Saccharomyces cerevisiae S288C: one gene and its partners. The protein of the gene in region 1 purifies or fractionates together with the protein of each later gene. This does not show direct contact. Each region holds a gene or a part of one and is shown in the gene's direction. Other genes may lie near its edges.

The links.
Region 2: the proteins of RPN13 (region 1) and PRE8 purify together in Saccharomyces cerevisiae (affinity purification with mass spectrometry; 2 studies listed by BioGRID). This does not show direct contact.
Region 3: the proteins of RPN13 (region 1) and RPN9 purify together in Saccharomyces cerevisiae (affinity purification with mass spectrometry; 3 studies listed by BioGRID). This does not show direct contact.

What each region holds. Positions count from the first base shown.
Region 1 is NC_001144.5:964,539-967,503, reverse strand, and holds RPN13 (proteasome regulatory particle lid subunit RPN13), read left to right. Parts: upstream 1-1,943; coding exon 1,944-2,414; downstream 2,415-2,965. Other genes in the region: guanine nucleotide exchange factor DCK1, read right to left, coding at 1-1,607; URA4 (dihydroorotase), read right to left, coding at 2,625-2,965. UniProt on the Saccharomyces cerevisiae protein: Component of the 19S cap proteasome complex which acts as a regulatory subunit of the 26S proteasome, involved in the ATP-dependent degradation of ubiquitinated proteins.
Region 2 is NC_001145.3:85,320-88,431, reverse strand, and holds PRE8 (proteasome core particle subunit alpha 2), read left to right. Parts: upstream 1-1,692; coding exon 1,693-2,445; downstream 2,446-3,112. Other genes in the region: RPM2 (ribonuclease P), read left to right, coding at 1-1,309; UTP14 (Utp14p), read right to left, coding at 2,643-3,112. UniProt on the Saccharomyces cerevisiae protein: The proteasome degrades poly-ubiquitinated proteins in the cytoplasm and in the nucleus. It is essential for the regulated turnover of proteins and for the removal of misfolded proteins.
Region 3 is NC_001136.10:1,320,596-1,323,965, forward strand, and holds RPN9 (proteasome regulatory particle lid subunit RPN9), read left to right. Parts: upstream 1-1,609; coding exon 1,610-2,791; downstream 2,792-3,370. Other genes in the region: SNX41 (Snx41p), read left to right, coding at 1-1,346; BNA7 (arylformamidase), read right to left, coding at 2,859-3,370. UniProt on the Saccharomyces cerevisiae protein: Acts as a regulatory subunit of the 26S proteasome which is involved in the ATP-dependent degradation of ubiquitinated proteins.

The sequences.
Region 1 (2,965 bases):
CCTATAATTTCCTTTACAGTTACCGATAAAGAAACAGCCCTAGGGTTCACAGAAACGCCTTCAGAAGAATCTTTTATTATCTTATTTATTAACCCGCCCCAACCTAAATCCGCATCCTTTGAAGAGTTGAAGTTTTGCGAATCCGAGGAATCGGAGCTATAAAGATAAAGGTTAAACCTCTGAGCTTTATTCGCAACTGATAGGCCGTTATAAAACTTGAATACCGGAGATATGTTAATAACTCCGGCAGCTAAGCCCTTTTTTACGTGGTCAATCTTATTCTCAGTCGATGAATTAAATGGAGAAAATGGGGAATGTGAACTTGACTCTTCGGTAGATATATTGTAAGATGAAATTTCCGGAGCAGTTTCTGTTGTAATTGCTATTGTTTCCTTCAGCACTACTACTAAGTATACTTTATTTTTATGGACTATCGTTTCCAAAATATTCTTGAATAACATTGCAGGAATTTCATCTAGAGCTGATTCCATATTGGACGACTTCGTCATGGTAAAAGACTCTGTTAAAACTTCGTCTTTGGTTCTCAAGTATACACAAATAGAAAGATCTTGATATTTAGGATCTGATATAGAGGGATCCCATGCCAGATCTTTCAAGTTAACCAAAATGCTCGATCTAACTGTGCCGAATAGTCCGTTAGATGAGGACTCATCATCGGACTCTACCACAGGTACAGTAGGAAAATTATTAGTTAAACCACAAAGCATTGACGATGACACTAAAGTTCTTAATTTGTCGATCTCGTATGAGAGCAATTCGCCAGTATCAATATCCCTGGCAAAAATTCCTTCGAAACCATAAGGATCTGGGTTTCTTGGAGTAGAGTTAGCAATTAGTTTATTCTTCCTGTATGTGGAGGACAAAAATTTTGCGATTTTAGTTCTTAGGGATGTTGCTGCTCTTATCAGATTTATTTTCTCAGCCTCTGTGGTTAAATTCATAGACAATCTAAATCGTATAGTGTCCAAATCATAATAAAGTTTTATCATTTTCCTATATATAGAAAACTCGCCAATTGAATACATAGAGTAAACATGCGAGGAAATAAGAGATAATATAGGACCCATTTCGTCCTTAAAGGACCTCTTTTGGTATCTGAAAAAGGGGAACGGAGGTCTCGGTGTCTTTCTTGGTTTACCAGTTGATATATCATCAGTAGAGCTAACATATAGGCTGTCACAAAAGGAGCGGGACTCACATTCTTTACTTATCAATGGTTTAAAATCCTCAGCACTAGGTGCTTTGAAAAATGGCATTGTGCTGACGGCTTTTTCTGCTTCAAAATGAACATATTTTCTAGGAAATATCACTACTTTCGGTTTCACGTCTGGCAGTACATCATTCGCCGAGTTCATATTCGATATGAATTCTTCAGGAAAGGGTCGTAAACATTGGTACGCTCTACACCATTTCTTATCCACAGATTCTTCGAAGACGTAAACTTCTGCACCCACATAAACGTTCGCATAATTGCTGTTTTCATATACCAGCTCAGGATACCTTTGTAAGGGAAGGAAAGATTTGACTAGCACACCATATATTAGCCGATCCGTGGGCAGCCAGCGCTGTGAATCCTGTTGCGACATTGTAATAGTAATCTCCCTAAAGAAAAAAAGACCCCTGTTTTATATGACTAATCTTCGGTCCTCTATAATTTCAATTGAAGCAATAATTGACTGAGTGGTGTACAAACGGTTGCTTGAACCATTTATATTATTTTCAACTCATCAAGTCATCCCCTCCTTGATATGCGTTATTGATATATTTCAGTTAAAATTCCTCCGTATTTCGTGATATATTATTCGCGAGGTGGCGAAAGCTTTGCTACTAAATACTCTACTATGACCAGTAGATTAGGTTCTATAAGGGTGCCAGAAAACTACCTAAGTGCTGGTTGACTTATAAATTTTAAAAGAGTGTTGATGAGTATGAGTTCAACTGTAATTAAATTCAGGGCTGGTGTTTGTGAATACAACGAAGATTCACGTCTATGTACGCCAATTCCAGTTCAGGGTGAAATCGAGATCAAACCAAATGAAGAGGAAGAATTGGGATTTTGGGATTTCGAGTGGCGTCCAACGGAAAAGCCGGTCGGGAGGGAACTTGATCCTATTTCTTTGATTTTAATTCCTGGAGAGACCATGTGGGTTCCAATAAAATCCAGTAAAAGTGGCAGAATATTTGCTTTAGTTTTTTCATCCAACGAAAGGTACTTCTTTTGGCTGCAAGAGAAGAACTCAGGTAATTTGCCCTTAAATGAATTGAGTGCGAAAGATAAAGAAATTTACAATAAGATGATTGGAGTGCTGAATAATAGTAGTGAAAGTGATGAGGAAGAAAGCAATGACGAAAAGCAAAAAGCTCAAGATGTGGATGTTAGTATGCAAGATTAAATCAAGGTTGTGGCATTTTTTGATAAAAAACTGAAGAGAAAAAATATACCATATCAACGCATTTGGCTGTGAACTTCTGTAAAGAGATACGGACCATAACAATAGGCATGATGATGGCATCTATAACTTCTATTGGAAGGTAAGTTTATTTTTCCCATAAATATGTATATATGGTCTATACTCTCAAATGAGCCTACATATTGTTGCATATTAACGAGGTTCCCATCTCACCGACCAACTTAGTTTATCACCTGCTTTAAATGGGATGATGCTTATGTCTTTGCCATCGCTGATAACCTGAGGGATAACTTGTTCTTTTTTGAATAATATTGCCTTATCTGAAGAAGCCACTTCGCTATCTTTAACCTCATAAAAGGAAATTCCGAAGTCGGAAACAAAGCCCTTTAAGTTCTCCAAGGCATTTTGCTCTTCAAAAACTTGGGCGATATAAGGGATCGCAAAAGATTGTGAGTAAACTCCTGCGCAAACACCCTCGTAATTGGCCTTATTTTGTACAGGATGAGGTGCTGAATCAGATCCAAAGAAAAAAT
Region 2 (3,112 bases), on another chromosome or scaffold:
CATCAGGAACTCACCCAGAGGTGGTATAAGAGAATTTACGAAATTGAGCAAAGAAGGTTATTGCTTTGATTATGACACTTATAAAGAATTGATAATTAAACGAGCTATTAACAAACAAATTATTGACAAGTGCTTAGAGGTATGCCCTGATTCAATTGAACTAAAAAATATCGTAAATTTGATGATTTCAAAGATTCCTGGTAGGAACCTAACCCAATTGATAATCAATAATCCAAAATTTAGCAAAGTTTTTGTGCCAAATTTAAGAAATGATTCTATGTTAAAATTAATCGAAAACTGCGAATCTTTATCGAATTTCATAAGAATCTGTGATTTCCCAGAAAAGTTCAAAAGTATTGCTATTCAAGCCGAAAACAAAAATGCTATTGAGCTGATTTATGAAAGACTGTTTGACGGCGGTAAGTACGCAGATATTTTGAGATATAATAATATTGTTCCGGTGTTAAATTTGGAACTTTTATTAAAATCTTGTATCAGGTCTGGTGAATTCAAGAAGTATGAAAGTCTCTCTAAAAAGTTTAATGACAAAATAAGCGAATCATCAAAAATTGATATTCAGCTAGAATATTTAATTAATAAGAATGATTTAAAAGGGGCATTCACGCTGTTTGAAAAGACTCCAAGGGAGCTGAGAACCCCCCATAAGACTATGGACCTTTATACATTTGCCTTATTTTTGGATAGTTTCAATAGGAACATCACGTATTATGAAAGTCCGGAAAATACATTACAATTCGCCAATATTTTATCCAGCCAAACAAGCTTCATAAATTTACTATCGACGTACAACTTAATTGCCCATTCAGATCACCTCATGAACTTCAACGTCGGTGGAATGGCAGCAAAAGTTAAAAAAGAAATCCTGAATCAAATGCTAAACAATTTGTATGATTCCATCAGACTATTGTCTCCCAGCATTGAAAATGACAAATCAATGAAGGAAAAATTGAGAGAAAAAGTAAAGAACTACTGCAGATTCAAAGCTTATTTGAAGTCACCTGAATTGGACATGGATGAACTGAAGACCTTGGTTTCAGTCGAGTCTTTTTTAAATCCTTTCACTCCTTCAATGTTGTTCAATAACTTGATCGAAACTATTTATATAAACGAACACGCTTCCTCGTTAGTCCTTCAGAATGGGTTGATCTATTCACTCCAACAGAAAGGTCTCAATAAGATACTGAGCTATCTAGAAGAAAGCTTCATCACTAGTGGAAATGATGCCAATATTGAAAAGGTCAGGGAATTCAGGTCCCTTTTAAGGAAGAGCAAGCCTCTTCAAGCATGACCTTTACAATTTGATATTTTATTTATTTCACTGTTATAACATAATTACAAGTAATTAATGTCATATAATAATAATAATAATAATAATAATAATAATAATAATAATAATAATAATAATAATAATAATAATAATAATAATAATAATAATAATAATAATAATAATAATAATAATAGTAATAATAACGTCTATATAAGAAGTATCTACACCATTGCTTACGCTTTTATTTTTTCCTTTCGACGTGAAAAGCGATAATAGCTTATTAAGGTGGCAAAATTGTCCCCGGCCCCAATAAGCTGAGAGTGGAATAGGTGAAGCATTTTATATTTTTAGTTTCAATTAGTAGTAAGCAACCATAAGACACCAATCAACACAGTTCTATAATTATGACCGACAGATATTCTTTTTCGTTGACCACTTTTTCTCCCAGCGGTAAATTGGGTCAAATTGATTACGCCTTGACGGCAGTAAAACAAGGTGTCACCTCATTGGGTATAAAAGCTACGAATGGTGTAGTAATTGCCACAGAAAAGAAGTCGTCCTCGCCACTGGCCATGTCAGAAACACTTTCGAAGGTATCCTTACTAACACCGGACATTGGTGCAGTATATTCCGGTATGGGGCCTGATTATAGAGTTTTAGTGGATAAATCAAGAAAGGTAGCACATACTAGTTATAAACGAATTTATGGTGAATACCCTCCCACCAAATTACTGGTTTCTGAAGTAGCCAAAATAATGCAAGAGGCTACACAGTCCGGTGGTGTCAGACCCTTTGGTGTTTCACTGTTGATTGCTGGCCACGACGAATTTAATGGGTTTAGTTTATATCAAGTGGATCCTTCCGGTTCCTACTTCCCTTGGAAAGCCACCGCTATAGGAAAAGGTTCTGTGGCGGCAAAAACGTTTTTAGAGAAAAGATGGAATGATGAACTGGAACTAGAAGACGCCATTCATATTGCCTTACTAACGCTGAAGGAGTCGGTAGAGGGCGAATTCAATGGTGACACCATTGAACTGGCTATTATTGGCGATGAGAACCCTGACTTGCTAGGCTACACTGGTATTCCAACCGATAAAGGCCCTAGATTTAGAAAATTAACTTCTCAAGAAATAAATGATAGATTAGAAGCATTATGATGTTATAATTATCCCCGCCAATCACCCATCTCACTCAACTTATCCAAAAGAAAGCCAATTGTGTATATAACTTACATAACCTTTAAATGATTTTTTTCTAATTATTCCAGTATTACTATTCTACACAATGCATAATAAATAGATATAAAAAGTGGAATGTGCCACATATGCATTTTTTTACCACCAATAAATATCAGTTACTTAAATGGTGCCTTCAAAGGATCAATAACTTGGCCTGGCTTAGTCATGATTCTCGGTTTGATAAGCTCTTGATGAGATGCTCTGGATGTCCATTCTTGACCTATCGGCATACGTAAAGATCTTTCATATTGTTCTCTATTTTCGAATGGGAATGGTACCGCTGAAGATTGGTATTTCAAGTTTTTCTTATTAACTTTTTCATTTATGATCACATTTTGTAGATTCTTATCTCTTCTTTTGTCTTTATTAACAACACCCTTAACCTTTTTGATGAATTTACGCTTCTTATTTTTTGGTTTAGAACCTGCACCGGCCCATTCACCCCAACCAGGTAAAGTGGTATCAACTTCTTTATCATCTTCATCATCAATGACACGTTTCTTTTCCTCCTGAAATTCTGCTACCACGTCGTCGCCAGCAAAGGCTTCCGCAATGACGTCTTGCTGCTTGAACATGAATACATTAT
Region 3 (3,370 bases), on another chromosome or scaffold:
CCAAGCATTCTCTTCTCAAATACATATGGAGTCCCATAAACGCAGCAAATGATTCCAAAATTATCTCCACCAGGAAGAAAATGCTCAATTCATTCTTGTCTAACTGTCTGAACATTCAAGAAATAAGCAACGATATTGTTTTTCAAAAATTTCTAAACCCTGAATTTAATTGGAAAGATGTTTTAAGTTCGTCGCCGATAATCATACTACCTTTGAATAACCTTTTAGCTCCACCTTTAAGCCCAACAAAACCAAGCCCCCTTCATTCTATTTTACCTATTCCATCCAACTCGTCTCTGAGAAACTATAATTCGATTTGGCAACAACACATCACAGTAAAAAGTCATAATGAAATTTCCAACCTCCCAACAGAAATTTTACAAAACGAATCTCAATTTACACATATTGAAAATTTATTCCAAAATTATAAGCGAATAATCACCCATTTATTAAAAAACATAAGATCAAATAAATCTCATTTCCACTCCTTGTCCACGTATTTTGCTGAATTAGGCGCATATTATAATGCTTTTAGTTTGGAAAATGACATAACCATGCCCAACAGCCTTCGCGAATCTGAAAACAATTCAAACAACCCAATGATGGAAATTATTAGTCATATTGAAAAGACAGGCCATTCATTCGATGTTATATACATTTCTTCCGAGATCTTAATAGAAAAGTACACCTCTATTCTTGAGGACCCCATTAATGAGTTATTGCAGTTCTTAAATGAGTCATTCAAAGTTCTAAATTTCAAGAAATTAAAGTTTTTGCAATTTAAAATATTAGAGAGGCTAATTATCGAAAAAGAAACGAAACTTTCGAGTCTCACTGAGATTGAAAACCAACTGCAGAAGATTAATGAAAGTTTAACGCGGTCGACTATATTGACAGATGAAAATTACAAAGATACAAAGGCTGCTGACCTGACATTTGTTAAAAAGGACGTAAGATCGCTATCGAAGTCAAGTTCAAATTCAAGCTCCAGTGGACACCAAAACGAAATTCATATAGGCGCAAGTAAACTAAACTATAAAACGTCTACGCCAACAATGAATCTCAATAAATTAGAAATCAAACAATTGACTGAACAAGAAAGATCTAAACAGATCAAACAGTTGAACCAAGATTTATCCAAATTGAAAGATTGTCTATCAATCTGTATATCAGACATGCTAGAAATTAACAATTCGTCATACAACAGCTTAATGCATACATATAACCATATTAATTTGACCATTGGAAAGATCTTGAAACTTTTCGCAGCTAGCTTCAAAGCATGGATCAAAGAATGTCTGAAGAATTGGAAACTGGCAAAGTTACAAATCGACGAGGCCCTATAAAAAGCATTACCGTCACGCATCGTGTTGCAAATAGCATATACATATATATATATATATATATACATATAACGTATACGTTAGAAAAATTTGAATACACACATTCATTTATCCTATTATTATCATTTTCATTCTTACCCGCTCCCCGCTTTCATCCGGTGGCAAAAGTAAGAACAAATAAAAGCTAGACCTAGATTGAAGAAACTATTAAGTACCAAAAAGCAAACAGTGGGCACACGCGAGGAAACCACATTATATTTCGCAAGATGTTTAATAATCATGAAATTGACACCATATTAAGCACTCTCCGCATGGAGGCAGATCCCTCTTTGCATCCTTTATTCGAACAATTTGAGAAATTTTATGAAGAGAAATTGTGGTTCCAATTGTCCGAATCCTTGACTAAATTTTTTGATGATGCTAAATCTACACCATTGAGGCTCAGATTATATGATAACTTCGTTTCTAAATTTTATGATAAAATCAACCAATTGTCAGTAGTAAAGTATCTACTTGCCTCTTTGAAGGATTCTAAGGATTTCGATGAGTCTTTAAAATATTTGGATGATTTGAAGGCTCAATTTCAAGAATTGGACTCTAAAAAACAAAGAAATAATGGATCAAAAGACCATGGTGATGGTATTTTGTTGATAGATAGCGAAATTGCTAGAACTTACCTGTTAAAGAACGACCTCGTTAAGGCAAGAGATTTATTAGATGATTTGGAAAAGACATTGGATAAAAAGGATTCCATTCCATTAAGGATAACAAACAGCTTCTATTCTACAAATTCCCAGTATTTTAAATTTAAAAATGATTTCAATTCTTTCTACTACACAAGTCTATTATACCTTTCTACCTTAGAACCATCTACAAGCATTACTTTAGCCGAACGTCAACAATTGGCCTATGATTTGAGTATCTCAGCATTGTTAGGTGACAAAATCTATAATTTTGGCGAACTATTACACCATCCAATAATGGAAACTATAGTCAACGATTCCAATTACGATTGGCTTTTCCAATTATTAAATGCTCTAACCGTTGGTGATTTTGATAAATTCGACTCATTGATAAAAGTTCAAATATCAAAGATTCCTATATTGGCTCAACATGAATCATTTTTACGACAAAAAATTTGCCTAATGACATTAATTGAAACAGTTTTTGTCAAAAATATTAGGATGCTTTCATTTGAAGATATTTCAAAGGCTACACACCTACCAAAGGATAATGTCGAACACCTGGTCATGAGAGCCATAAGTTTGGGTCTATTAAAGGGTTCTATTGACCAAGTAAATGAACTCGTTACCATCTCCTGGGTCCAACCAAGAATCATAAGTGGTGACCAAATTACAAAGATGAAGGACAGACTGGTTGAATGGAACGATCAAGTAGAAAAACTGGGCAAAAAAATGGAAGCTCGTGGCCAATCCATCTGGGTTTAGGCCATTGGCAGTTATATATAAAACACACACGCACACATATATATAAATGCAGAAATAAAATCAACTATCAACAAATATTGTCAAAAATATACTTCGCAACTTTACCATTCTTATAAACATCATTATGCAAACCCAAATCGTCCAAATACAACTTGAAACTTAACTGATAATCCTGAAGACAAGAAATTAAACAATTAGTTTGTCTTAACGTTAATAACTCGTCGCTATAAGAATGCACTAGGTGCATATCAATACTGAAGCGAGAAAGGGCTTTCTTCACGTAAGGCATTACTCTCGAGGGCTCTTCCTCGTACATTTGAATACCATCAGGGAAGGCAAGTCTTGTAAAACAATCATACTCTGGGTATTCTACCAACAGTTCCTTTAACGAGTATATACCATCCAATAGAAATACTCTCTTCACGATCTGCAAAAGTCCCAACATTTGCAATTGCGCTTCACTCATTTTTTCTTGAGGATCTTTGAGTGCAGCTAATATCTGCCAAATAAAGGTAGCTCCAACGGAATGTCCCACCATATTAATGTTCGTTAATCCCTTTTCTTTAACAAGCCTTGTTA